Linked DNA regions of Zea mays. The protein of the gene in region 1 interacts with the protein of each later gene in a pairwise test. Links are inferred from orthologs where the notes say so. Each region holds a gene or a part of one and is shown on either strand. Other genes may lie near its edges. The genes, in order: regulatory protein viviparous-1 and ABA response element binding factor.

Region 1 (12,127 bases):
TTATTCTTGTTAAAAGAGGTAGAAAATCTAAATTTGCTCCTAAGGCTGTAGAAGGCTTTTTACTAGGATATGATTCAAACACAAGGGCATATAGAGTCTTCAACAAATCCACTGGATTAGTTGAGGTTTATTGTGACATTGTGTTTGATGAGACTAATGGCTCCCAAGTGGAGCAAGTTGATCTTGATGAGCTAGATGATGAAGAGGCTCTGTGCGTCGCACTAAGGAACATGTCCATTAGGGATGTGTATCCTAAGGAATCCGAAGAGCCCACTCAAGCTCAAGATCAACCATCATCTTCCATGCAAGCATCTCCACTAACCCAAGATGAGGATCAAGCTCAAAATGATGAAAATGAAGGTCAAGAGGATGAGCCACCTCAAGAGGAGGACAATTATCAAGGGGGAGATGACAATGATCAAGACAAAGAAGATGATCAAGAAGTTCAGGGTCAAAGACCGCCACACCCAAGAGTCCACCAAGCGATCCAAAGAGATCACCCCGTGAACTCCATCCTCGACGATATTCATAAGGGGGTAACAACTTGATTTCGAGTCGCTCATTTTTGTGAACATTACTTTTTTGTTTCCTCTATTAAGCCATACAGGGTAGAGGATGCACTAAGAGATTCGGATTGGGTGTTGGCAATGCAAGAGGAGCTCAACAACTTCACAAGGAATGAGGTATGGCATCTTGTTCCACGTCCTAATCAAAATGGTGTAGGTACCAAGTGGATATTCTGCAACAAGCAAGATGAGCATGGTGTGGTGACAAGGAACAAAGCCCGACTTGTGGCCAAGAGATATTCACAAGTCTAAGGTTTGGATTTCGGTGAAACCTATGCACCCGTAGCTAGGCTTGAGTCAATTCGCATATTACTTGCCTATGCTACTTACCGTGGCTTCAAGCTTTATCAAATGGACGTGAAGAGTGCCTTTCTCAATGGACCAATCAAGGAAGAGGTCTATGTTGAGCAACCTCCCGGCTTTGAAGATAGTGAGTACCCTAATCATGTTTACAAACTCTCTAAGGCGCTTTATGGGCTCAAGCAAGCCCCAAGAGCATGGTATGAATGCCTAAGAAATTTTCTTATCACTAATGGCTTCAAAGTCGGTAAAGCCGATCCTACACTCTTTACTAAAACCATCGCAAATGATTTGTTTGTATGCCAAATTTACGTTGATGATATCATTTTTGGGTCTACTAACAAATCTACTCGTGAAGAGTTTAGTAGGATAATGATTCAAAAATTCGAGATGTCAATGATGGGTGAGTTGAAGTACTTCTTAGGATTTCAAGTGAAGCAACACCAAGAGGACACCTTCATCAGCAAAACAAAGTACATTCAAGACATACTTACCAAGTTTGGAATGAAGGATGCCAAGCCCATCAAGACACCCATGGGAACCAATGGGCATCTCGACCTCGACATGGGAGGTAAATCCGTAGAGCAAAAGGTATACCGGTCAATGATAGGATCTCTACTCTATTTATGTGCATCTCGACCGGATATTATGCTTTCAGTATGCATGTGTGCAAGGTTCCAAGCTGATCCTAAGGAAGTTCACCTTAGGGCCGTGAAAAGAATCGTGATATATTTAGTTTACACTCCTAAGTTTGGTCTTTGGTACCCCAAGGGATCCACTTTTGATTTAATAGGATATTCAGATGCTGATTGGGCAGGGTGTAAAATTGATAGGAAGAGCACATCAGGGACTTGTCAGTTTCTAGGGAGATCCCTGGTGTCTTGGGCTTCAAAGAAACAAAATTTAGTAGCTCTTTCTACCGCCGAAGCCGAGTATATTGCCGCTAGGGCTGGGCAAAAAACTCGTAACCCGAAACCCAAACCCGGAATACCCGAACCTGAACCTGAAATACCGAACCCCGAATTTTGTTTGGGAATTTCGGGTAGCAACTTGCAAAACCCAAATTTATTTCGGGTAATTCGGGTATCACAATCGGGTACCCGAAATACCCGAACTTTCATGTGTCATGTACTCATGTCATGCTTAATTATTAATTTGTGCATCTATATGTGTAAGTGTGCATAACTTGTGATTGTAGATTGCTTGTGTTTTATATGTCCATGTATATCATTATTCAAACTATATTTTTATACTAATTTAATAAGGTGTATGTGTTTTTATGAAGCCGACATAATAGTTCGGGTAGTTCGGGAATACCCGAACTCGAAATTCCGGATACCCGAATTTTCGGGTATTGCAAAACTCGTTGTAATTTCGGGTATCGATTCTCAAAACCCGAAATTTTAAAAACCCGAAATACCCGACCCAAAATTTTCGGGTAACCTGAACGCATACCCCTAATTACCGCAGGCCATTATTGTGCGCAATTGCTTTGGATGAGGCAAACCCTCAGAGACTATGGCTACAAATTGAGCAAAGTCCCTCTCCTATGTGACAATGAGAGTGCAATCCGTATGGCGGATAATCCCGTTGAACACATCCGCGGTAAGCACATAGCCATTCAGTATCACTTTTTGAGGGATCACCAACAAATGGGGGAAATCGAGATTGCTTATGTTAGCACCAAAGAAAAACTAGCCGATATCTTTACCAAACCATTAGATGAGAAAACCTTTACCAAACTTAGGAATGAGCTAAACATTCTTGATTCTTGGAACTTTGATTGATACTTTGCACACATAGCTCATTTATATACCTTTGATCATATCTCTTTTATGTCTATGACTAATGTGTTTTTAAGTTTATTCATATGCTAAGTCATAGATTGAAAGGGAAATGGAGTCTTCGGCGAAGACAAGGCTTCCACTCCACTCTATCGGTATTATTTACCCTTCGCCGTCACTCCGCACCATTCTCCGCTATGGTATAATCTTCACTCATATTTATTTGTACCATTGGGAGAGAAAGTTAAAGGGCTCTTAAAAGACTCCGTTTTTGGCGATTAATGCCAAAGGGGGAGAAATATTAAGCCCAAAGCAAAAGGACCGCACCACCACCACATTTCAAAATTTCTTAAAGTATTTAAAGAGGATTTTTCAATTGGTATCTAAATCTTTTTCATACTGGTAAAACCCTCTTGAACACTAAGAGGAGAATTTCATCCAGGGGGAGCTTTGTTTAAGTCAAAGGAAAAGCATTTGAAACAGGGGGAGAAATTTCAAATCTTGAAAATGCCTTTTGAAATCTTATTCATGTACCTTTGACTATTTACAAAAAGAGTTTGAAAAGATTTTCCAAAAGAATTTGCAAAAACAAAACAAGTGGTGCAAATGTGGTCCAAAGTGTTAAAAGAAAGACAGCAATCCATGCATATCTAGTGAAAGTATAAATTGGTTTAATTCCAAGCAACCTTTGCACTTGCCTTATGCAAACTAGTTCAATTCTGCACTTATACATTTGCTTTGGTTTGTGTTGGCATCAATCACCAAAAAGGGGGAGATTGAAAGGGAAATAGGGTCAAACCTTTTCCTAAATGATTTTGGTGGTTGAAATGCCCAACACAAACAATTGGACTAACTAGTTTGCTCTAGATTATATATTCTACAGGTGCTAAAGGTTCAACACAAACCAATAAAAAGATCAAGTTAGGGTTCAAAAGAAAGGAGCAAAAGAAACCGAAGAGAACCCTGGTCTGGCGCACCGGACTGTCCGGTGCCCAGGGCCGTACTCCTTCAAACATGCCACCTTCGGGTTTCTGGAGAGCCGCTCCACTATAATTCACCGGACTGTCCGGTGTGGCACCAGACTGTCCGGTGCACCAGCGGAGCAACGACTATCCAGCGCAACGGTCGTCTGCAAAAGCGTGAACAATGCGCGTCAGAGTCAGAGCGCAGAGTCATTACGCACCGGCCACTGGACAATAGCTGTCCGGTGCGGCACCAGACGGTCCAGTGCGATATGAAGTCAGCGCTCCAACGGTCGAAACCGTCAGAACCCTAACGGTTGGGTGACGTAGTTGGCGCACCGGACTATCCGGTGCGCCCATTGACAGACAACCTCCCCAATGGTTGGTTTGGTGGTTGGGGCTATAAATACCCCAACCACCACCACTCAAGGCATCCAAGTTTTTTCAGACATCTCATTCAATACAAGAGCTAGTGCAATCAATACAAGACACAATTCAAAAGAATCAAAGCCTCTCTAAGTCCCAAATACACTCCAAACACCTAGTGACTAGAGAGAGAGTTTTGCTAGTGTTCTTTGAGCTCTTGTGCTTGGATCGATTTCTTCTTCCCCATTCTTGTTCTTCAAAGCACTTGTAATCAAAGTAAGAGACACCAATTATGTGGTGGTCCTTGCGGGTTCTAAGTGACCCGGTTGATTAAGGAGAAAGCTCACTCGGTCTAAGTGACTGTTTGAGAGAGGGAAAGGGTTGAAAGAGACCCGGTCTTTGTGACCACCTCAACGGGGACTAGGTTCTTTGGAACCGAACCTCGGTAAAACAAATCACCGTGTCATCCGCTTTATTTTTTGGTTGATTTGTTTTCGCCCTCTCTTCCGGACTTCAATTTTATTCTAACTCTAACCTCGGCTTGAAGTGTGCTTAAAGTTTGTAAATTTCAGTTTCCGCCTATCCACCCCCTCTAGGCGACTTTCATCCTCCCACCCGCTCGCTTTCCTCTCCATCGAGCTCCTTGCATCTCCACAATTGTGGAGTAGGAGCTCCCCGACCGTGTCCAAGACGAAATTAAGACGTGGAGGCTCTGCTCTCTCGGCTGCAGACACAACGCGGATGGTGCGACAACTTCATCTAAGGAGTGTCTGTCGTGTAGGCTCTGGTCCCCTCCCACGCCCGTAAGATGGCATCATAATTTTTAGCTTATAAGTTCATAAATCACATAATAATATCATCACATGTCAAGAGTTTCTTTATATTTTGGGTTATTCGGTCTATTGGGACCAAAAACTGAACCCTAACCCGTACATATGTACTCCTGAATTATAGCAAATGTAGGAATCAAACCCAAACCCAAACCCAAAACCCAATATAGGCTGACAATTTAGTTTATTTGGGTTCTGCTCAGGTTTGGGTTCAGTCTTCAGTTTAAAAATGCCACCCCTAATCTTGAACAATGTAAATATGCAAAGTAGTGATGAACTCAACCCTCGGGTTTAGGTTGAGTCTAGCAGTAGCCGATATCCTCTCATGTACGCTAAATATAGGGGAGGTTATCTCTCCTATCTACTCTAACAATGTCCTTTAAATTTAGAGGACGTTCGTCCTCTATATATATTATCTGCCCTCCCATCTACCCCATTTTAATATTTTAAACAAAGATTAATAACTTAAGATATGTAAAGGCTAGTTCGACAACCTTTTTTCAAGTGATTTCTATTTTCCAAGGAAATTAGTTCATTTTTTCTAGGGAAAATGGAAATCTCTTGGAAAAATGAAGTTACCGAACTAGCCCTAAGGATATAAAAATATGTACGTGCAAAAATCTAGAGCAAAATATATCTCTAATATAAGTATTTATGTATAGATGGTGAGATATAGAGGACACTGATGAATAGAAATTAGATATGGATGAGAGAATCTTTTAAATATTACTGTAAAGTAAGGATATATTGGATGTTGCGTCTTAGGGTGTAAAAATAAAAAATAGAGTTTAAACTATAACGTTTAGAACACAAAATTTAAACTAGTAAGCTTACTGCTTTGTTGTGATATTTAGAATGTGCCGTGGCCCACCTGAACCAACGCCTCCAAAAAAAGTCCAATTGTGGGTTTCTCACGTTTGCATAGAGAAATTAATTGCGCCACCTTCCAAAAGACAACCACATGAAACCTATCAAATTAATCTTCCACCATAAATATATTGTCATCAAAATATCTTTTTGGCATAGCTAGCAGACCCGAAAATTCGGTTGACACCATATTTAAGAACGCCAGTCATCTTTTTTTGTAAATGCACAGGTGGGAAAATGCTAAAAGAACATAAGTACATAGAGCCAAAGATGAAGTAAGAGGAGGACCGCAGATTAATAATAAAAAGCCCGAGGAGTTTGCAAAGGAACTCCTACTACTAGTACAATCCACCCATCTAAGTATACTACACGCAAAGTTCCCAAATAGAAGGGTTCCACTTCCACGTCGTCGTGCCCGCCTTCAAGTCCCCGAATCACCCACACCGTGTAGGTTCCGCGCGTGCGCGTAGAGAAACTCCTCTGCTTCGTAGACAAGCCAGTGGCACCATCCTGGAGCTTCCGTCCGTGGGATCACGCAGAGACTGCATCGGACGGTCAGGAATCGTCCCAACACTCGGGATTCAGTCGGCGCGCCGGCGACACGGACATCCTACGGCGCCGAAGCAGCTACGCGCACGCTGTTTTCTCCACGCACGGGCTCGCGGGGCCCACGCCTCATTGACTGACCAAAAACATGGGCGCTCTCTCGTTTCCGTTTCTGGAGCAGTCAAATTAGAACGCGGCGAAGAGGCGAGACCTGAAAACACACAGACACTGACATGTTGGACAGCATCGCTCGGCCCATGCCATAGACGGGTCATGCACAGAGAAACCTAATCAGTAATAGTTTGTGATACCTCTATGACAAAGTGGGTCCATTATCTTCAGCCCCACGTCTCCGAGAGAGGTATAGGGTGCGCGCCAGGGGTGAGAAGTATGGTGGCCGAGGAGAGGCTGGCGTGGGCGGTGGAGCGCTCCCCTCGGTCGCCACGTGTGTCACGCAGCCGCATCTCGGTTCCCTCCTCTCTCTCTCTCTTCTTCTCCCTCTCCACCTCCTGCTTGCACTGTTCGTCTCCTCAGTAACTGCACCCACCTCCACACCTACACCCGAGAGGCGGCGGCGGCAGACACAGACACCGTCTCTCTCCTCCCTTTGTCGTCGTGTCTCTCTGCATGGAAGCCTCCGCCGGCTCGTCGCCACCGCACTCCCAAGAGAACCCGCCGGAGCACGGTGGCGACATGGGAGGGGCCCCCGCGGAGGAGATCGGAGGGGAGGCGGCGGATGATTTCATGTTCGCTGAAGACACGTTCCCCTCCCTCCCGGACTTCCCTTGCCTTTCGTCGCCGTCCAGCTCCACCTTCTCGTCCAACTCCTCGTCAAACTCCTCCAGCGCCTACACCAACACGGCAGGAAGAGCCGGCGGCGAGCCCTCCGAGCCTGCTTCGGCCGGAGAAGGGTTTGATGCGCTCGATGACATCGACCAGCTCCTCGACTTCGCGTCGCTTTCCATGCCGTGGGACTCCGAGCCGTTCCCGGGGGTTAGCATGATGCTAGAGAACGCCATGTCGGCGCCGCCGCAGCCGGTGGGCGACGGCATGAGTGAAGAGAAAGCCGTGCCGGAAGGGACCACAGGGGGAGAGGAGGCCTGCATGGATGCGTCGGAGGGGGAGGAGCTGCCGCGGTTCTTCATGGAGTGGCTCACGAGCAACCGCGAAAACATCTCGGCCGAGGATCTCCGCGGGATCCGCCTCCGCCGCTCCACCATCGAGGCCGCCGCCGCCCGGCTCGGCGGCGGGCGCCAGGGCACCATGCAGCTGCTCAAGCTCATCCTCACCTGGGTGCAGAACCACCACCTCCAGAGGAAGCGCCCGCGCGACGTGATGGAGGAGGAGGCGGGCCTGCACGTCCAGCTCCCCAGCCCGGTCGCCAACCCACCAGGATACGAGTTCCCCGCCGGCGGACAGGACATGGCCGCGGGCGGCGGCACATCTTGGATGCCCCACCAGCAGGCATTCACGCCGCCTGCTGCGTACGGCGGCGACGCGGTGTACCCGAGCGCGGCAGGCCAACAGTACTCTTTCCACCAGGGCCCCAGCACGAGCAGCGTGGTCGTGAACAGCCAACCGTTCTCCCCGCCGCCTGTGGGCGACATGCACGGCGCGAACATGGCCTGGCCGCAGCAGTACGTGCCGTTCCCACCGCCTGGGGCTTCCACGGGCTCTTACCCTATGCCGCAGCCGTTCTCCCCCGGATTCGGCGGGCAGTACGCCGGCGCCGGCGCTGGCCACCTCTCAGTGGCCCCCCAGCGCATGGCAGGCGTGGAGGCCTCGGCGACCAAGGAGGCCCGCAAGAAGCGCATGGCGAGACAGCGGCGCCTGTCCTGCCTGCAGCAGCAGCGCAGCCAGCAGCTGAGCCTGGGCCAGATCCAGGCCTCCGTCCACCTGCAGGAGCCGTCCCCTCGGTCCACGCACTCCGGCCCGGTCACGCCGTCAGCAGGCGGCTGGGGATTCTGGTCGCCGAGCAGCCAGCAGCAGGTCCAGAACCCGCTCTCCAAGTCCAATTCATCAAGGGCGCCGCCTCCCTCGCTGGAAGCGGCGGCGGTGGCGCCACAGACAAAGCCCGCGCCTGCTGGTGCTCGGCAGGACGACATTCACCACCGCCTCGCAGCGGCTTCAGATAAGCGGCAGGTGCATGCATGCGTAGCTTGGCATCGCTAGCCAGCACGAGATCTATACCAATCTGTGTTCTTGCGTTTGCTCCGAATAGAGAGAGACGCACATCGCTGTCGAGCAATAGAATCGACGTGCGCGTGTGCCGTACGCTCGCTCGCGTACGGGTTCGATGCGTGTGCTCCTCGGGTGTTCACTCACGCGTATATGGTTCTGATGGACGAACATGTGTGTGGGATTGCAGGGCGCCAAGGCGGACAAGAACCTGCGGTTCCTGCTGCAGAAGGTGCTGAAGCAGAGCGACGTCGGGAGCCTCGGCCGCATCGTGCTCCCCAAAGTGAGACAGACGCCGGCCGGCCCTTCATGATCTGCATCATATCTATACCCCCCACTTGCGCATATAGATCTATCTACTTAGGGGGTGTTTGGTTAGAGGGACTAAAGATTAGTCTCTAGTTTTTAGTCCCTTTTAGTCCCTTTTTTGCCAAACACTAGGACTAAAATATGGACTAAAATGATTGCCAGTAGAATTAAAAGCTCATAATTATCATGTTGCCCTTACCTTTTTATAGATAACTAATATCATGAGTATATTCTAAGGGTATTTGAGTCTTTGGACAATGTATTTAATGACTTTAGAATCTATTTAGTCCCTAGAACCAAACATATAGGGACTAAAGTTTAGTCCTAGGACTAAAGTTTAGTCCTAGAACTAATTGAAACCAAACATGCCCTTAGCTTGCATTGCGCGTGCATGCATGCCTGTTGCATCAGTTTGGTCACTTTCTGTTCTTGAACTAACTAAAATCGGCCATGGATAGGTCATATATATAGATCTACGCATATATACCAAAGCTCGCAAACTGCCCCTGAATCTGTTCTTCAAAACCGCCTTGCCTTTTTTAAACTGAACTGGGCCGTGGTTGGTTTGGCATCTCAACTAAAAATCGTCGCCTTGTCTTGTTTTTGGACGATTCAGAAGGAAGCGGAGGTTCACCTGCCGGAGCTGAAGACGAGGGATGGCATCTCCATCCCCATGGAGGACATCGGAACGTCGCGCGTGTGGAACATGCGGTACAGGTGAGTGTGTGTGTCATCATTGGTCTAGGGACAGACGTCGAGCATCCATAAATTAAATCCAGTTGCTGGCTGCTGTTTTCCTCGAATCTGTTTCTTCTCCTTCTCCTTTTCCTTTGTTTGTTTGATTGATTGATTGAGAGCTGCTGCCTGCAGTTCGTGCATGGTCGTCTACTGGGGGCAGGGAGAGATATATAGGTAGTATACCACTAACCACTGGGCCAGAGATAGTAAATGGCATGAGTACGACATCTGTGGCATGGTCCCTTTCTTTCCCAATTTGGCAAGTGGGTCATATGAATATAGTGTACGATGAGAATCCGAGGAGCAAATAGTGGCATGCACTCGTCTACACGGAATTCTGCACGCAATAAACATGCATCTTCTCCAACTTGCTGATAAGCCTGATATATAACATACCACTACCACCAGGTCAGGTGATATTTGTTCTGAAAATGGCATCTTCTGTTCGGTCCAAAATATGATTGCCAGGACACCACAGTAAACATGGTCTCTCAGTCCAGGACACCACAGTAAACATGGTCTCTCAGTCCTCCGGATCTCTCGTTAGTACAGCGAAGCTCTATAGTGATGTTCCTAGAGCTATTTTCACTGGCGTTTTTCAGTGACGCCAGTGCTAGGGGCCAGTAGAATTCGAATAAACAACTGACCCCTAGCACTGACGACACTAAAAAACGCCAGTGCAAATAGCTTTAAACCGCCACTATAGAGCTTCTTTGTACTAGTGTTTGGCAGCTAGGTGCACATCTTTGTGCAGCAGCCATAGTCGCGTTTTTTCTTCTTCGTCGTCGTCTTGTGGCTCTTTCTTCTGGTTTGGCTTTCTCATACTAATGAAGTTTATTAATCTTTAGTAATTCGAGTTGCGAAAATAATAATAACAACTTGTTCCAGTAGTGCAGGTTCTATGAAAATGAGGTAACTGTTTTTTTGGATTCTCATATGATCTGGTGATGTTTTTTTTCCAAAACTGGATTACCTTGCTGAAAACTAAAATTATTATTCATATATACGGTATAGTATCGACTGTTACCAGTGCAATGTCAGTGCTTTCATCAGCTGAGCTCCTTATTGCATGCACGCAGGTTTTGGCCCAACAACAAGAGCAGAATGTATCTGCTGGAGAACACAGGTGAGAGGATCTTAACGTTATGATTTCCATCCATCCGACCTTGACAACGATTCTTCGTCGTTATGGTCTGTCTGATCTTTTTTTCCTGTTTTTCTTTCTCAACCTGCAGGGGAATTTGTTCGTTCCAACGAGCTTCAGGAGGGGGATTTCATAGTGATCTACTCCGATGTCAAGTCGGGCAAATATGTATGTTCTTCTATTGCCGACTATTTCCTTGCTACATAATGCTCGTTTTTCTGGTCCATATGCCTGCATCATTAGTCAACTCAAACGTGTTGTCGTCCTTGAAACTGCAATCCAAATCTACGCAACCGTTTTGCATGCCACTGTTTGTATGTGGATGCCTGGATGGCAATCAAGGACATAGTGGCATCTTTTGATCTCGCTGTTCATGGAATTGGTTTACTTCAGCAGCAACTCATCAAGAACCCTGAAACCCCCCTTGTGTCCTATATATATCCACAGCTGATACGGGGCGTGAAGGTAAGGCCCCCGCCGGCGCAAGAGCAAGGCAGTGGTTCCAGCGGGGGAGGCAAGCACAGGCCCCTCTGTCCAGCAGGTCCAGGGAGAGCCGCAGCCGCCGGTGCTCCTGAAGACGCCGTCGTCGACGGGGTCAGCGGCGCCTGCAAGGGGAGGTCTCCGGAAGGCGTGCGGCGGGTTCGGCAGCAGGGAGCCGGCGCCATGAGCCAGATGGCGGTGAGCATCTGAAAGAGCAGCAGACTCCGCCATATATTGATCGATCGACCAATCGATCGTTAGTTCTCCAAGTTACTATTAGCTAGCTATAGCTCGAAACAGCTGAACTGATGATGACGATGGTAACCTCCGTCGTGTGTGCTAAGCATGTAGCGTGCTAGGAGATGATATATTAAATATAATCGAGTAGTAGAGCCACCCGCTGTGTGACGCTAAATTTGTGTGCATGGTTTGGTTTGTGAGTTGGGCCCGTGCGTGGCTGTGTCATGTCGTGGTTAATTAGCTATACTAGTCCTGTCTGTACATGCATGGACATACCTGATCTCTCGGCCATTGGTGTCGGCGACGTGCCATTCGGCTAACAAGACGACAGCTGCAGCCTGCAGCAAAAGCTAGAACATTCTACACATGCCTTCGTGTATGTTATGCTTTGTAGTTTCCTGGATGCATGCATTGCATATAGTGGTGTCCTGCTTGGTTTATGCCCAAAATTTGTCATACCAAAGATTTAGGAAGACAAAATCCGATAAAAAATAATCGTTATACATTTGTCAAGCCACAGGCAAATATGAGAGGTTGAGAGATTTTGGTAGCAAACCAAATAATAATAGTCACGAACCAAGATTTGTCAAACGGAATGATAGTATGAACCAAAATTTGTCATGCATGCCAAGCCAAAGCCAGATTAAAAAAAATCTGTTATGGATTTGGCAAGCCAAATGTGAGAGGTTGACAAGTTCTGTAACAAACCAAATGATAGCTAAAACCATAGCTTGTCAAATGCTTGGCTTGACTTAGCAATCATATTTTGAAAGCCAATTAACTAACCGCGCACCCAACTTTGTTGCAAGCATGGGTT
Region 2 (11,975 bases), on another chromosome or scaffold:
GCGCTCTTCACAGCTCTAGGAAGGCTTCGGAGGAGATTCTTCCGCTTATAGTCGGCCAGACGGCCTCGCTAACCTCGTCGCGTCCTAACGCTGTCCCCTCCCCGAAAGACACGCAGTCACGCAGAAGCGCGCTGCCCGGGTCGCGCGACCTAGGGTTTCGGGGCTCGCCGGTCGCGTCGCCTGGGGGTGGGGATCTTTCTCTAGTTCTCTCCTCTCTGAGTTGAACCTTTGAAGAAGGTGGAGAATGGAGACGCAGACTCCGGACGCGAGAATCTTCCGGTTCCGGTCCGACCGGTCGGCGCGCAGTACTGTCCACCACGCGTGCGTGGATGAAAACGGTACCCCAACTGTAGGAAGTACTCCCTCCGTTACATTTTAGTCTAAAACGCTGAATTGTATCAAGCACATTGTTTCAAATACTTATGTTTGAACTAGCACATTGTTTCAAATAATTATGTATGAAATTTGATACTAATTATTAAGCACATTGTTACAGATAAAAATTAAATTTTACATAAATTGTTTCAAATATTGTTTGCTCTCTACAACAAAAAGTTAATGTATCTGAATTGTGTCTGACTTTTATATCTATCATTTGAGAAGATATATAATAAAATTTTAGTTTTACTGTTTACAAAACTTTACAAGCTCAATGCTAAAAACAATAATATGAATCTACATAGCATACTATATATCATATTTATTAACAATCAAATAAAAATGCCAAAAATCACTATCCGAATGAGTACCCATTTTCATTCCACATAAGGTGGGATTTTCTATTTCCATTAGGTCATTAACCTTTTTGTGGTATCTAGGTATGAAAACGGACGGAAAACATTTTGTTTCGTCATATATCCTATTTATTGAATAATGTTGACAAAAAAGTGTTGTCTTTATTCAAGTTATCGATCTTTTAAAAACATATGTTTTTGTGCCGACTTTTAAACTTGTTAAGTCATGATTTATAGTGTCCTATTAATATTGTAGTTTGCTAAGTGATTGTACAATATTATATATTCTAGCCAAAGTTTTCGCTTACCGTCCGTTTTCGTTACATATCTGTTCGTTTTAGTTCATTTTCGTGTAACCATATATCTCGTAACTGTTTCAGTTTTCGGCTATGCAGCTCTCGCTCATGTTTTCAATAAAAATTATAGTAATGGAAATGAGACAGTGATTTTTCCGACCGTTTGTGTTCGTCGTGAGTTCATGACCCATCTTGACCGTATCAACTCAGATAACAGTGGCCTATTCTTATTAAAAATTTTATTCTTATATATAACATATATGATTTGTTTTTTGTTTCTATTAATATTTTATTTTTTTATTTTCCCCTCATTTCAAGTTTGTTGTCTTATGATTTTTATTCCTTTTTATTTGTCATCCCTTTTATTTTTATTTATACTCTAAGAAATTATTTAATTTATTTTTATTCTCTGTTTTATTATTTTTGCTTTTTTATGTTTTTCTCCTTTTATTTTTTTTTCTTTAGATTTTCCTAATTTCGTCTTGTGTTTTCTTTCTTTCTTATTTTACTTTTATTAACTATTTCCTACCAAAACTAAATCAGTTCTGACTTTTAATGGATTTATGTAATATTTAGCGTATATATTTTATATATGTCCACATCCATCATTATCTAGTTAAATATAGGTATAAAAAATAAAACAAATATTATTTTGGAATAGAGGTATTATTGTTTTCTTTTCCGAAGGAAGTGAATGCTGGTGGCCCACATTAACTCTCGAGGTGCATGTGAGTTTCTATCATATTTACTTTTTTATTTTATTTTTCTATTTTATGGATGTCGTTATTTTATTTCCCTTTTGTATTTTTATTTTAGCTATAAATGAAGATTTCATTAATAAATTGTTGCACGGTAATTTTTCGTTATATTTTTTTTCTACCAATAAAGAAACACAGCAGTAGCTTTTACATTTATCCTACTCTGCAGTCTGTAGGACGGCAACGTGGGCCAAATCACTTGAGCCGACTACCTTTCAACTGCGGACAACAATGTGGGCCAAAAAATCATTTGAGGCACCCATATAAATGCCAAACAAAAAAAAGAACTACCCTCAGATAAAGGATGTGTTTATTCCCCTCCTAAATTATATAAGTTGAATTATTCTATAAGGATAGTAGAGTAAAATGTTATTTTGAGACTAAAAAAATAACATAAGGTAGCATTGGATAGCTTATTCAACTTATTAGTCTCAAAGTAATATTTTACCTTTCTACTCTACTACCATAATACAACTTAATCTACGATGGAAGGACATTAGCATTTTTTTACGTCGCATGGACTGTAAATGGTGTGTTTCCTCTGGCCCAAACACTAGACCTTTCAAGTTTCTGTTTCCCGGTTGCCGTTTACTTGCTTGTTTTCTTGCTTCTAAGGCCCTCTTTAGGAGGGCTTCATTTCATTATAAGAATTGCATCTTCGGTTTTCTAACTTTATCGTGAAACGGCTTCAACAGATTAAAATGTTTGGTTTGTACATAGGCTTCAACTTCTGTAATACAATTAATTTATATGAGTTTACTTAATTACCCTTGATGATTAACGGGTGAAGAAAGAGACATGAATCGATAGGTCATGTAACCAATGATATGGTGACTATTTTTTTGTTCAACTTCATGAAGAGTGTTTTTGAAACACCCTTCCCTTCGAGGAGCTTAAAAAATTTCATGAAATTAGCCTCTAATTTCAGCTTTTCTTAGCCTCTAGTTTCAGTTTTTTTTTAACTAGAGCTTATAGAGCTAGATCTGTTTAAGTAGAAAAAGCTGAAATATACATGGAATTCTTAAAGTGAAGCTCTACCAAACAACATTCGGTTGCTGGTAGCCTCCGAATCCAACCATTTGCATCGCACGAGAATACCAGAATCAAATGCACGATATACACAGACATAGGACTCAGTATGGCCCATGTCAAATAAACATGGACGAAAACACATAGCTTTGTGTTGAGTTGCTATCTTAAAGACAGCTGGTTTATTGTTTGTACAACCCAAGGCTTATGAACAATAGCAGGCCAACGCGGAAGCTCTTGCCCATATATCTATTAGTCCCTCAGAGACGTATGCGTCAATCACATCGCGTACTGTTACCAATGGTTCTGGTACCGACAGGTACAGCACTTTCCATGGAAGCAAGCAAGCAAGCGCCAATCGAACTGGAACTGCACAACGCGAGTCTCACTCGTCACAAGTTCACCACATGGCGCTGCCCCACCGGCGCAGTCCGGGACCGACCTTCTTGGCGCTCACATTCTCCCTTGCCTGCTCCATCATCTTCTCCACCAGCTGAAACAGACACAAAAAGCCATGGCAGGGTTGCCTTCAGGACACTGTCTTGTCTTGACAGAGCATATCGACTGTTACACTGACAACTAGCAAATGACCGGTACTCCGTAAAAGGAAGCGATTGAGTGAAACTTGTTACTGTACCATCTTTTTCTTCGACAGCAGAATCGTCCTCTGCAAAACAAAAACGCAACACGGACGTCGTGTTTGATCAGATCAATGCATAGTAGTATACTAGATATGAATAAGGAGATGGTGTCATGACGAACAAATGCTTCGCCTTCCCAGTACCTCCTCTGCTCTGAGGCGCTCGTTCTCCTCCTTGAGATGGTTCAGCTCAGCCTCAAGCTCCACGGTATACGCCTGCACCAGCATCGGCATCATTCCAGGAGCAGACCGAGACCGAGTCTGTCAATGACACGCGCAATACGCAAAGAGCACGAAAGTCGACGAGGACAGCTCGCACACCTGCTTCCGGGCGCGTGACCGGGCCGCGGACTCGCGGTTCTTGATCATGCGGCGCTGCCGTCGCTCCACGGTCTTCTCGGTGCACCCGTCCTCGGGGAAGTCGCGCTTCCGCGCGCCGCCGCCGCCGTTGCGGACCACCCCTCCGTTGCCAATGCAGTTCATCATCTCCGCCTGCGTCATGGCGCTCATCCCGTCCGACGACCCCGGGCTGGCGGCGGCCGCCACGCACTGAGACGGCGGCGGGGGCGGCACCACCGCCACGCCCCCGGGGTACCCGCCGCCGTGGTACCCCATGCCGTCGCCCATCACCGGGTATACAGCGCCGGGCGGCGGCGCCGCCGCTGCCGCCACCTGGTACATCATGGGAGGAGCCGCGTTGTGCTGCATGCCCATCGGGCCGGCCGGGACCATGCCGACGCCGTGGCCGTGGCCGGCGAAGGCGCCCCGCACGACGCCGGCCTTCACGAGGAAGTCCTCCAGCGTCATCTCGCCCAGCGTCGCCTGCCGCCCGCTGGCCGCGACGCCGCCGCCGCTCGCCGCCTGGGGCTGCGCCACGGGCTGCGGCGCCGCGCTGGCCTGGAAGTCCGCCGGGCCCTGGCTGATCTCGGCCCAGACCTCCTCCACCGTCTTCCGGGACAGCGGCGGCGGCAGCGCGAACGAACCCTGCCGAACCAGTCCCCTCCCACTTCCTCCTCCTCCTCCGTTCTCACCTGTGCCCGTCGTCGTCGCCACGGGCACCGGCTCACGCTCCGCGCCCTCCTTGTTGCAGCCGGCTGTGGCGGCCTGGAACTCCTCGGCGTTCCATATGTTGGCCATGAACTCGTCCATGTTCATGGATCCGAAGTTGCGGCCCGGCTCGCACAGCGAGTTCTGCAGCTCCTCCAGCGTCAGCGACATAATGGACGACTGCCGCGCCAGCGGGTCCACCGCCTGCTGTTGCTGCTGCTGCTCCTCGGCAGCGTCGCTGGTCTGGGCGCGTGAGTGCTGCGAGGTGACCTCCTGCTCGTCGAGGGCCTTCACGTTTTTGCTCATCTCGGACGCCATCTCTCAGTCGACCTATGAGACTGGCTCCTTTTAGGACACTCTCTGCTGATGCGTTGTTGAACGCGACGCGTGCTTATAGCCTGCATGCGAAAGCCAGGCGTGGTGATCAGAAAACATTGGTGCATGCATCGAGAAAACCCAGGTGCGGTGCCGGGTAGGGGCTTCATCGTCATCAATAACAAACAGCCAGTCCAAATTACGCGCGCAGCCGCAGTTTGCTGCGCTTCGGTCAGGCTCTGATGACTGATCGGCATCGTCTCTAGCATGCGTGGATAGACGCTTCCTCTGTTTGGATCTTTGTTCAGAAGTGAATTACCAGCAGCTTCTTGCAGAGGATCTTCTGCGCTCTCCGGCGTCGCATGTTGCGCAGAGGCCAGAGCGCAGTACTTATCCTGACAGAATAATCTACGCACCCCAGTGCAGGACCCTGACGAACATTCAGCACGTGCTTGTTGTCGACTTCTCCACCGCCGCACGAGATCAGATAGATACAGGGAGCGGTGTTGTTACACAAAAGAGTATACGACGAAACCTCGGGCTCCTTTTCCCCGGTTCTGTTATGTATTAATTATTTTTTTATATACCAGTGAGCTCGGCGTGCTCTGTTCCGTTGCCTGGCAGAGGCCAAAATTAGCGCGTGTGAGTGTGACGTTGCTCTCCGGCCGTTTCCTAAACGGGACAGGTCACTGCTGATGGACCGCGAGGAGGCGTGACCATCTGAACCGGGTTTCCTACGGCTTCCCGACGAGCACGAGCACGCTGTTGACATCTAGCTCGGCTGCAGCCAAGACACCTCAGTGTATGTTACCGACGTAGCGTGATCGTCTACTCCTATTCATTCAAACTCGAATGGCGCGTCCGGCGTGCCTCGCGGAATTTGTATCTGCATGACGTACTTGTCCGGGTACAGTGTAGAAGGGTGTTTGGTTTGCCTTGTTTGTTTATTGCCAATACATTTGGATTAAATAAGATTGAAATAAAATAACAAAATTTTTGATTTGTTTGGGATTTAAATCCAAACGTTCTCACTCAATCTATATATAGATTGAGAATTGAGAGCGAACCGAACATAAAATGAGTGGTTTACTAGCATTAAATATAGTTTAATTATAAAATTAATTATACAGCTAAATAATAAAATATAAAATGAATTTATTAAAACCAAATAATTGATAATCAAACATTATTATTTAAGCATTTGATGTGATACGAACTAAACTAAAAACTAAATTTTAGTCGCAAAACCGTACATGCTCTCAAAAGAGCATGCCCTCTAAAAATAACATGTAGCCACAAGCCTGTTTGGATTTTCAAGTTTAGCTAAAAGTATAGTGCTAAAATTTAGTACCATGCTCCAAAAGATCCGTTGTACTTGGGGCGCTTCATCGCGAAAGTGTATGCCAATTGTTGCGGGTACATGGTACTACTTTTATCAGGGCTGGACTGTTAAGGCTTATTCCAACAATTCCTTCTCTCATCGCACTCTATTTATACTTTCTATTCATTTTCAAATACACCATACTCTTTGGTTCTTTCCCCTCTCTATTAGGGCTGGACATTTTTAAATAGATTTAGGTTTGTTTCTAAATAATTGAAACTGTGCAAAAAAAAATATTAAAAAAATATGCTGTAGTAACATTAATGTTGTTATATCCTAGTCCTCCGTGACAACATGATTGCATCAGGTGACATATTCAGAATGCTCTGCTTTTAAATCACTCTTTGCTTTGCTCTGTTGGTATCTGACCATTGCAGTTGCAGCTGGCGTTACTAAAAGACTGGCGACGCATACTAACTTCTTGGATCTACATCTACTTCAACTCCGTGAACGACAGGCATCGGTGCTGAATACGAGCAGAGTTTCACAAATCACCTTTTATATCCTAGATGTGGAATGCTCAACTACTTCGAAATCTATGCAGACAACAGACACATTGCAGCACCTCCTGTATGATTCGGCATGCAAGATTTGTTGTCTCTATACACTGCGAAACCATGTGTTCCATCTCTCTGTAATTACAACGAGGCGATTGCTACAGCTAGCGCCAAATATTCATCTACACAACCGAGTTAATAACGAAATACTAGTATTTTTTTTTTACCATTTTCATCAGATTTATTCTGTATGTGTGCTCTGGATTTCATGCATGATGTTTGCATTCAGTAGCAACAAAAAAACAGTCACGAAAGGCAATACTGTATTACCAAACAAGGGGCGTGGCAAAGCCGCGCAGAGTAGGGTTCTAGTCATCTAGTGCTGTGGTCACGGATTGCGCGGCGAACAGTATTACCAGACCACAGGCAAACACCTCGCATTTCTAACTGAAAACCCCAAACAAAACGAGCAGAGATGTCTGCATATGCTGAAACGGAGGTGGAGAGCGAAGGCGAGGCGAGGCGAGGCGACGCGGTGCGTACCTCCTCAGGCGCCGCGGAAGCCGGAAGGGAGCCGCCCGCCTCCAGGCGGCCGCGTGCGTCCGGGTCCGGCAGCCGCGATGCGCAAGCGGGCCAAGCTTTGCTATCGACCCGCGGCGACGAAGTGATAGCAACGACGAGCCGCTGAAGCGAAGCGACCGAGTTGGTAGACGGGGAGCGAGACCTGCCGCGTGGTCGCGCGCGGGCATATGTTGTGGGCCGGGGCTGGATGCGGCGCCGAAACGGAGGTAATTAGCTAGTAGAGTAGTGATGTGCCGTGCGCTTCCATTCCGCCATTACTTATAGGCTTGGACGCGTTGGTGGGACTGGGAGAGACGACGACGCCCCCTGTCGTTTGGACGTGTCGGGCTCGTCGGCACGTTGCCTTTCCACCGCCAGCAGCGATAGCTATCCTTTCCTTTCCTTCCGCGGAAGGGAAGGGAGTCACACAGCCTCAGAGGGAGGGGGAGGGGCGATGGGCTCCGAGTTCCGAGGAGCCGCTACGGGCCCACCGCTCAGCTGCTGCATGCTGCTTGCTTCCGCCTCGGGGTTTTGTTTTTTGTCAGACCTGCTGCCCATGCATCCAGCAGGCGCAGCCGACGCCCGCAGTCTGCCGCGCGTTATCTCCTTGCTTTTGCAGCCGATGCCCGCAGTCGGCCGAGCCGAGTTGCGCGCCACCGGTGGCAGCTGTGGTGCCACTGCTTCGGGCACCCGCGCCGGTGCACACCGGATGAACGTTTGCAGTCTGCATGTCCGATCCGCGCCAACTTTAGGATCGGTTAAAGATTTTAACAAAGGTTAATGTAAAATCCTCACCACCTTTTTTCTACGTATCAATGCCAGCCTTGTCCCAGCTGCATGTATACGCCGGTCATTACATACGTGTTACCGTGTACTACCTGTTTACGTATTTAGTAGTAAGTATTTTGCAGATAGAGGTACTCTTGTCACGGTTTCAGCACTGAAAGCAAGCAAAGGCTCACGGTTCCAGGATAAGGCCCCAACAGTGCAGCATTGTAAAAGTGAGTTTGCAAAAGAATTACATCTGATCACGCTTAGAGCTAAAGGAAGATTCGATTCGGTAATACCTGAATAGCTTCAACACTGGCAGTAGATCCAGCCAATTTTATCCTTTTATATTTTTTTGTAATTTTCTTTCCTGTATAATTCTAATCCGGTCGTTTTTAAAGTTTTAACAAATTTTTCAGTAGGGGCTTGCCCCTCCTGTTCAATAAAAAAAGGCTCACGGTTTCAGCCGCGGTCGTCTCCTGCGGGTATTATGTCGGCGTGGAGAAGACAAGACATGCATGCATGCGTGCCGGGTGGTCGTAGGAAATAAGACCCGGGCCAAAAACGTACAGGCCGCCAGAGATGGACACGTGCAGGATACGTGCCGTGCCGTGACGTGACGGTGATCCCCCCACCCCGTGCCTGCACCCTGCAGTCGCCGGTCCAATCTCCGTTGTTCAGTGCAATCAATGGCTTTTGCCTGAGCCTCCGCTGTCCGCGCGCCTCCACTGCTCCACATCTACTGGCCCCGCGTCGCTTGGAGCTTTCCACCAAACGCCATTTGCAAATTTACGAGCCGCGCCGATTGGCACGCCTGGAATGACTGCAGGGAAGGTTTTAGCATTAGCCATTGCACGAGGTGAGGCGAGGACGTGTTTGTCTGAGGGGGAGAATTCACTACTAGCTGTTATTAAAACTGATTATGATGGTTTCTTTGTTGCTATTAAAGATTAGACCAACTCTATTAATGGCTGGCTGCGGATCCGTATCCTATAGAGTGACAGACAACGATACGGAGTTGCACAGTAGCCCATAAAGCTCTATAAACGGCTTCGTAAAGCGGTGTAAGCAAGGCGTCGGCTGGGTTGCGTAGATAAGAGAGAATACACGATAAAAGGGAGCCCACCTCCGTCCCGTTTTTTCTGTCGCTGGATACGACGACTGCTGGGGAACTCAACAGTGTGAAAACACGTAAATTTTACGGATGCACGCCCGTACACGGGCATACGGCTCCTGCTAGAGTCTTACAATCTTCTTTGGCTGATATCAATTTATAGTTTTACTAGGTCTGTACCCGTGCGTTGTCACGAGAATAAAAAATTAGTATGAAACATAGATACAAAACCACAAACCTCACTATAATATGTAAATTCGTGATGCAAAATATCACCACAGCACTAACATTATATTGACAATATAAATATGTAATACTATTATAAATACACATGCCCAAATAAATTGAACTGATGTCGAACAAATATTATCAATATCGCACAAATTATTTCAAAAGAGTCAATATAAAATTCTTAATGATAGGCAAATATCATCAGAAGATTCACTTCCATGGTTGAACCTGGAGGATAAATTTGACCTCGGTGTGCTAGCCTTCCACCTCGTGCATTCCACGTTGTACCTCTTCATCATTAAGAATACATTGATAATATATTGATAATGTACATTGATATAAAAACACTAATTATTTGTGATAGCATTCCAGACAGCCTTATCGCATAAAAAAGACAACCATTTTCTGCATAATGTACAAGGTTGACTCAATGATGAAGAGATAAGCTGCTGAGAAACTTGCAGGTGACAACTCAGATAAGAAATTATGCATGGTACATAAAAATATGTTAGGAAACTATAACGATAAGGCACTACCCATTATTTAAGTGTTGCAAAATACCTCTACTCACTTGAACAATAGTTTAGCCTGTTTAATAGCTGACTCGAATAAAAGGCTATGCATACATTCACATTCTCTGGATCATTCATTATCTTTTTTATTGTCATGGACCACATATAATCTGAATAACATAGCTGCAGCATTCTCCTTGGCCTTTGTCATCCAACCATTCTTCAACATTAATGGTAAGATGCAGACAATCCACTTGTTCCATGGTTTGTGTCTTGTTTGGCTCATAGATCGATAGATTGAGCAGTGGGATCACTGTTTTCTCCTGCGCCACCCAACCCGATAACAGCAGCAACTAAAAAGGCATGTCATTGTTGTGATATCATGCATTCACAACAATTAGAATGGTAAATTCACTATGCATCAATAAAGTTCAGTAACAATTAAAACCCCTTAAGTTCAGTGACAACCATTGTTCAAGTGTGCCTAGAACCATCTGCTTTCCAACCTATGAGATTGTTAAAATCTCTTGAAGTTAAGTGAAAACAACAACATACCAAAATATGAAAAATAACTCCTTTATAGGTATGTGAAAGCATAATGTAGATATCAAATCTACATTTGTGATGGAGCAACTGAACAATGAAGCTCAACACAAACATTTAAAGAATGTCATTAATTTTGCACCATGGTTGTAAGGGTAGAATACTCTGACAAGTGCAAGAATGAATATAAAGGTTATGCTGAAGAGGTGCCACATAAAAGATTGTTAGGTATATTTTTTTAATCGAAACAATGAGTTGGAGGAATAATCTATCCCTACAAAATATTATAAATAGAGAGAAAATAGCCACAAGTCGTGTCCAGTCCTATCTACGAAAGAGAAAAAAACTTAAGGTCCAGCCAACTGTTTCCATGGATAAGATATATTGTCAATAGACCAATAGAATTACCACTTATATAATTAATATTATTAATACAAATATTTCCATTGGTCTATTTGTACTTTGGAGTGATTCATGTTTGCCTTGCCCCATCTGTCCTTGCGCCATGTTTATGGACACGGAGTGCACTAACTGGTTGTACTGGAAAATAAAATTTAGACAATAGGGAGTACTCATGTGAGGTCCTAGATTTTTGTACTTCTAACAATGCCATATCACAGTTACTAAGCATGATAGCATGGTGAACATATATTTTTAGTAGAGCTCAGAACGTTTTCATTCAGTCCACACAACATAGCTGAACATATACGTATGGGTAAAGCTCCGTCCCGGACGGCTGGTTATTATGCAAATAATTTGAGCTCGCAAGAGTAAATTTACAAAAACATAGGATTCGATGTTCTGAAATTTACATGAGACAAAACAAAAACAATGATTGGGTGAATATTAGAATCCAAAAAAGAGACAATAGTTTTGAGAAAGAGAGAGCGCAGACACTGGATTTGTCGATTGGATTAGCTATACAGAGGGGAAGGCTGTGTGTGCAGTGTGCAGTGATCGCCTCTAGAATCTGCATTCTATAAGGCAAGAAGATAAAAGTCACATGACAAGAGTTGTTGAGCCGTGCATTTGAGTTTTTTCTCCTCTGTACACCCCTATCACACACACAACACACTCCTACTCTCTCTTTTCATCAAAAGGAATGCTAGAAAGATAGGTAAAAAAATTCATGGCATACTATGTACCGATATTGCATTCTTGCTAAAAAATTACTAACATGTGGATGCTAAATAGTAGACTTTGTGTAACTAAAAATTCAACAGCACCTCTGATCACGGGCCCTCCGCATGAGTCAGTACAAAATAGTATAAGTTGTGCTACAACCTATAGTACCTTGCAAACAACGAAAGCCTGAACCTTTGTTTAAGTGAAACTTGCTAGCCTGGGGATTACAGAACAAAAATGTTTTACCCACAACCATCAGCTTCTGGCGTAGCTGCAAAACATCCATTAATTCTGGCAATCAGTTTACATCACTCACATAAAATATTTTCACAGAAATAGGATATAGAAAGAAACTGAAAGACAGAACCAACTTAGCACTACCGCACATGTGTCTCGACGCTAGACAGATGTAGTTGATATTCGA

The links.
Region 2: the proteins of regulatory protein viviparous-1 (region 1) and ABA response element binding factor interact in a two-hybrid assay, tested with the Arabidopsis thaliana proteins (2 studies listed by BioGRID). The link is inferred for Zea mays from reciprocal best matches to the Arabidopsis thaliana genes ABI3 and ABI5.

The regions. Positions count from the first base shown.
Region 1 is NC_050098.1:164,986,272-164,998,398, forward strand, and holds regulatory protein viviparous-1, read left to right. Parts: upstream 1-6,702; 5' UTR 6,703-6,848; coding exon 6,849-8,363; intron 8,364-8,589; coding exon 8,590-8,682; intron 8,683-9,324; coding exon of another isoform or gene 9,325-9,327; coding exon 9,328-9,425; intron 9,426-10,525; coding exon 10,526-10,572; intron 10,573-10,681; coding exon 10,682-10,758; intron 10,759-11,037; coding exon 11,038-11,280; 3' UTR 11,281-11,675; downstream 11,676-12,127. UniProt on the Arabidopsis thaliana protein: Participates in abscisic acid-regulated gene expression during seed development. Regulates the transcription of SGR1 and SGR2 that are involved in leaf and embryo degreening.
Region 2 is NC_050103.1:173,331,673-173,343,647, forward strand, and holds ABA response element binding factor, read right to left. Parts: upstream 7,512-11,975; 5' UTR 7,241-7,511; intron 4,903-7,240; 5' UTR 4,823-4,902; coding exon 3,779-4,822; intron 3,674-3,778; coding exon 3,602-3,673; intron 3,485-3,601; coding exon 3,455-3,484; intron 3,311-3,454; coding exon 3,218-3,310; 3' UTR 2,854-3,217; downstream 1-2,853. UniProt on the Arabidopsis thaliana protein: Participates in ABA-regulated gene expression during seed development and subsequent vegetative stage by acting as the major mediator of ABA repression of growth.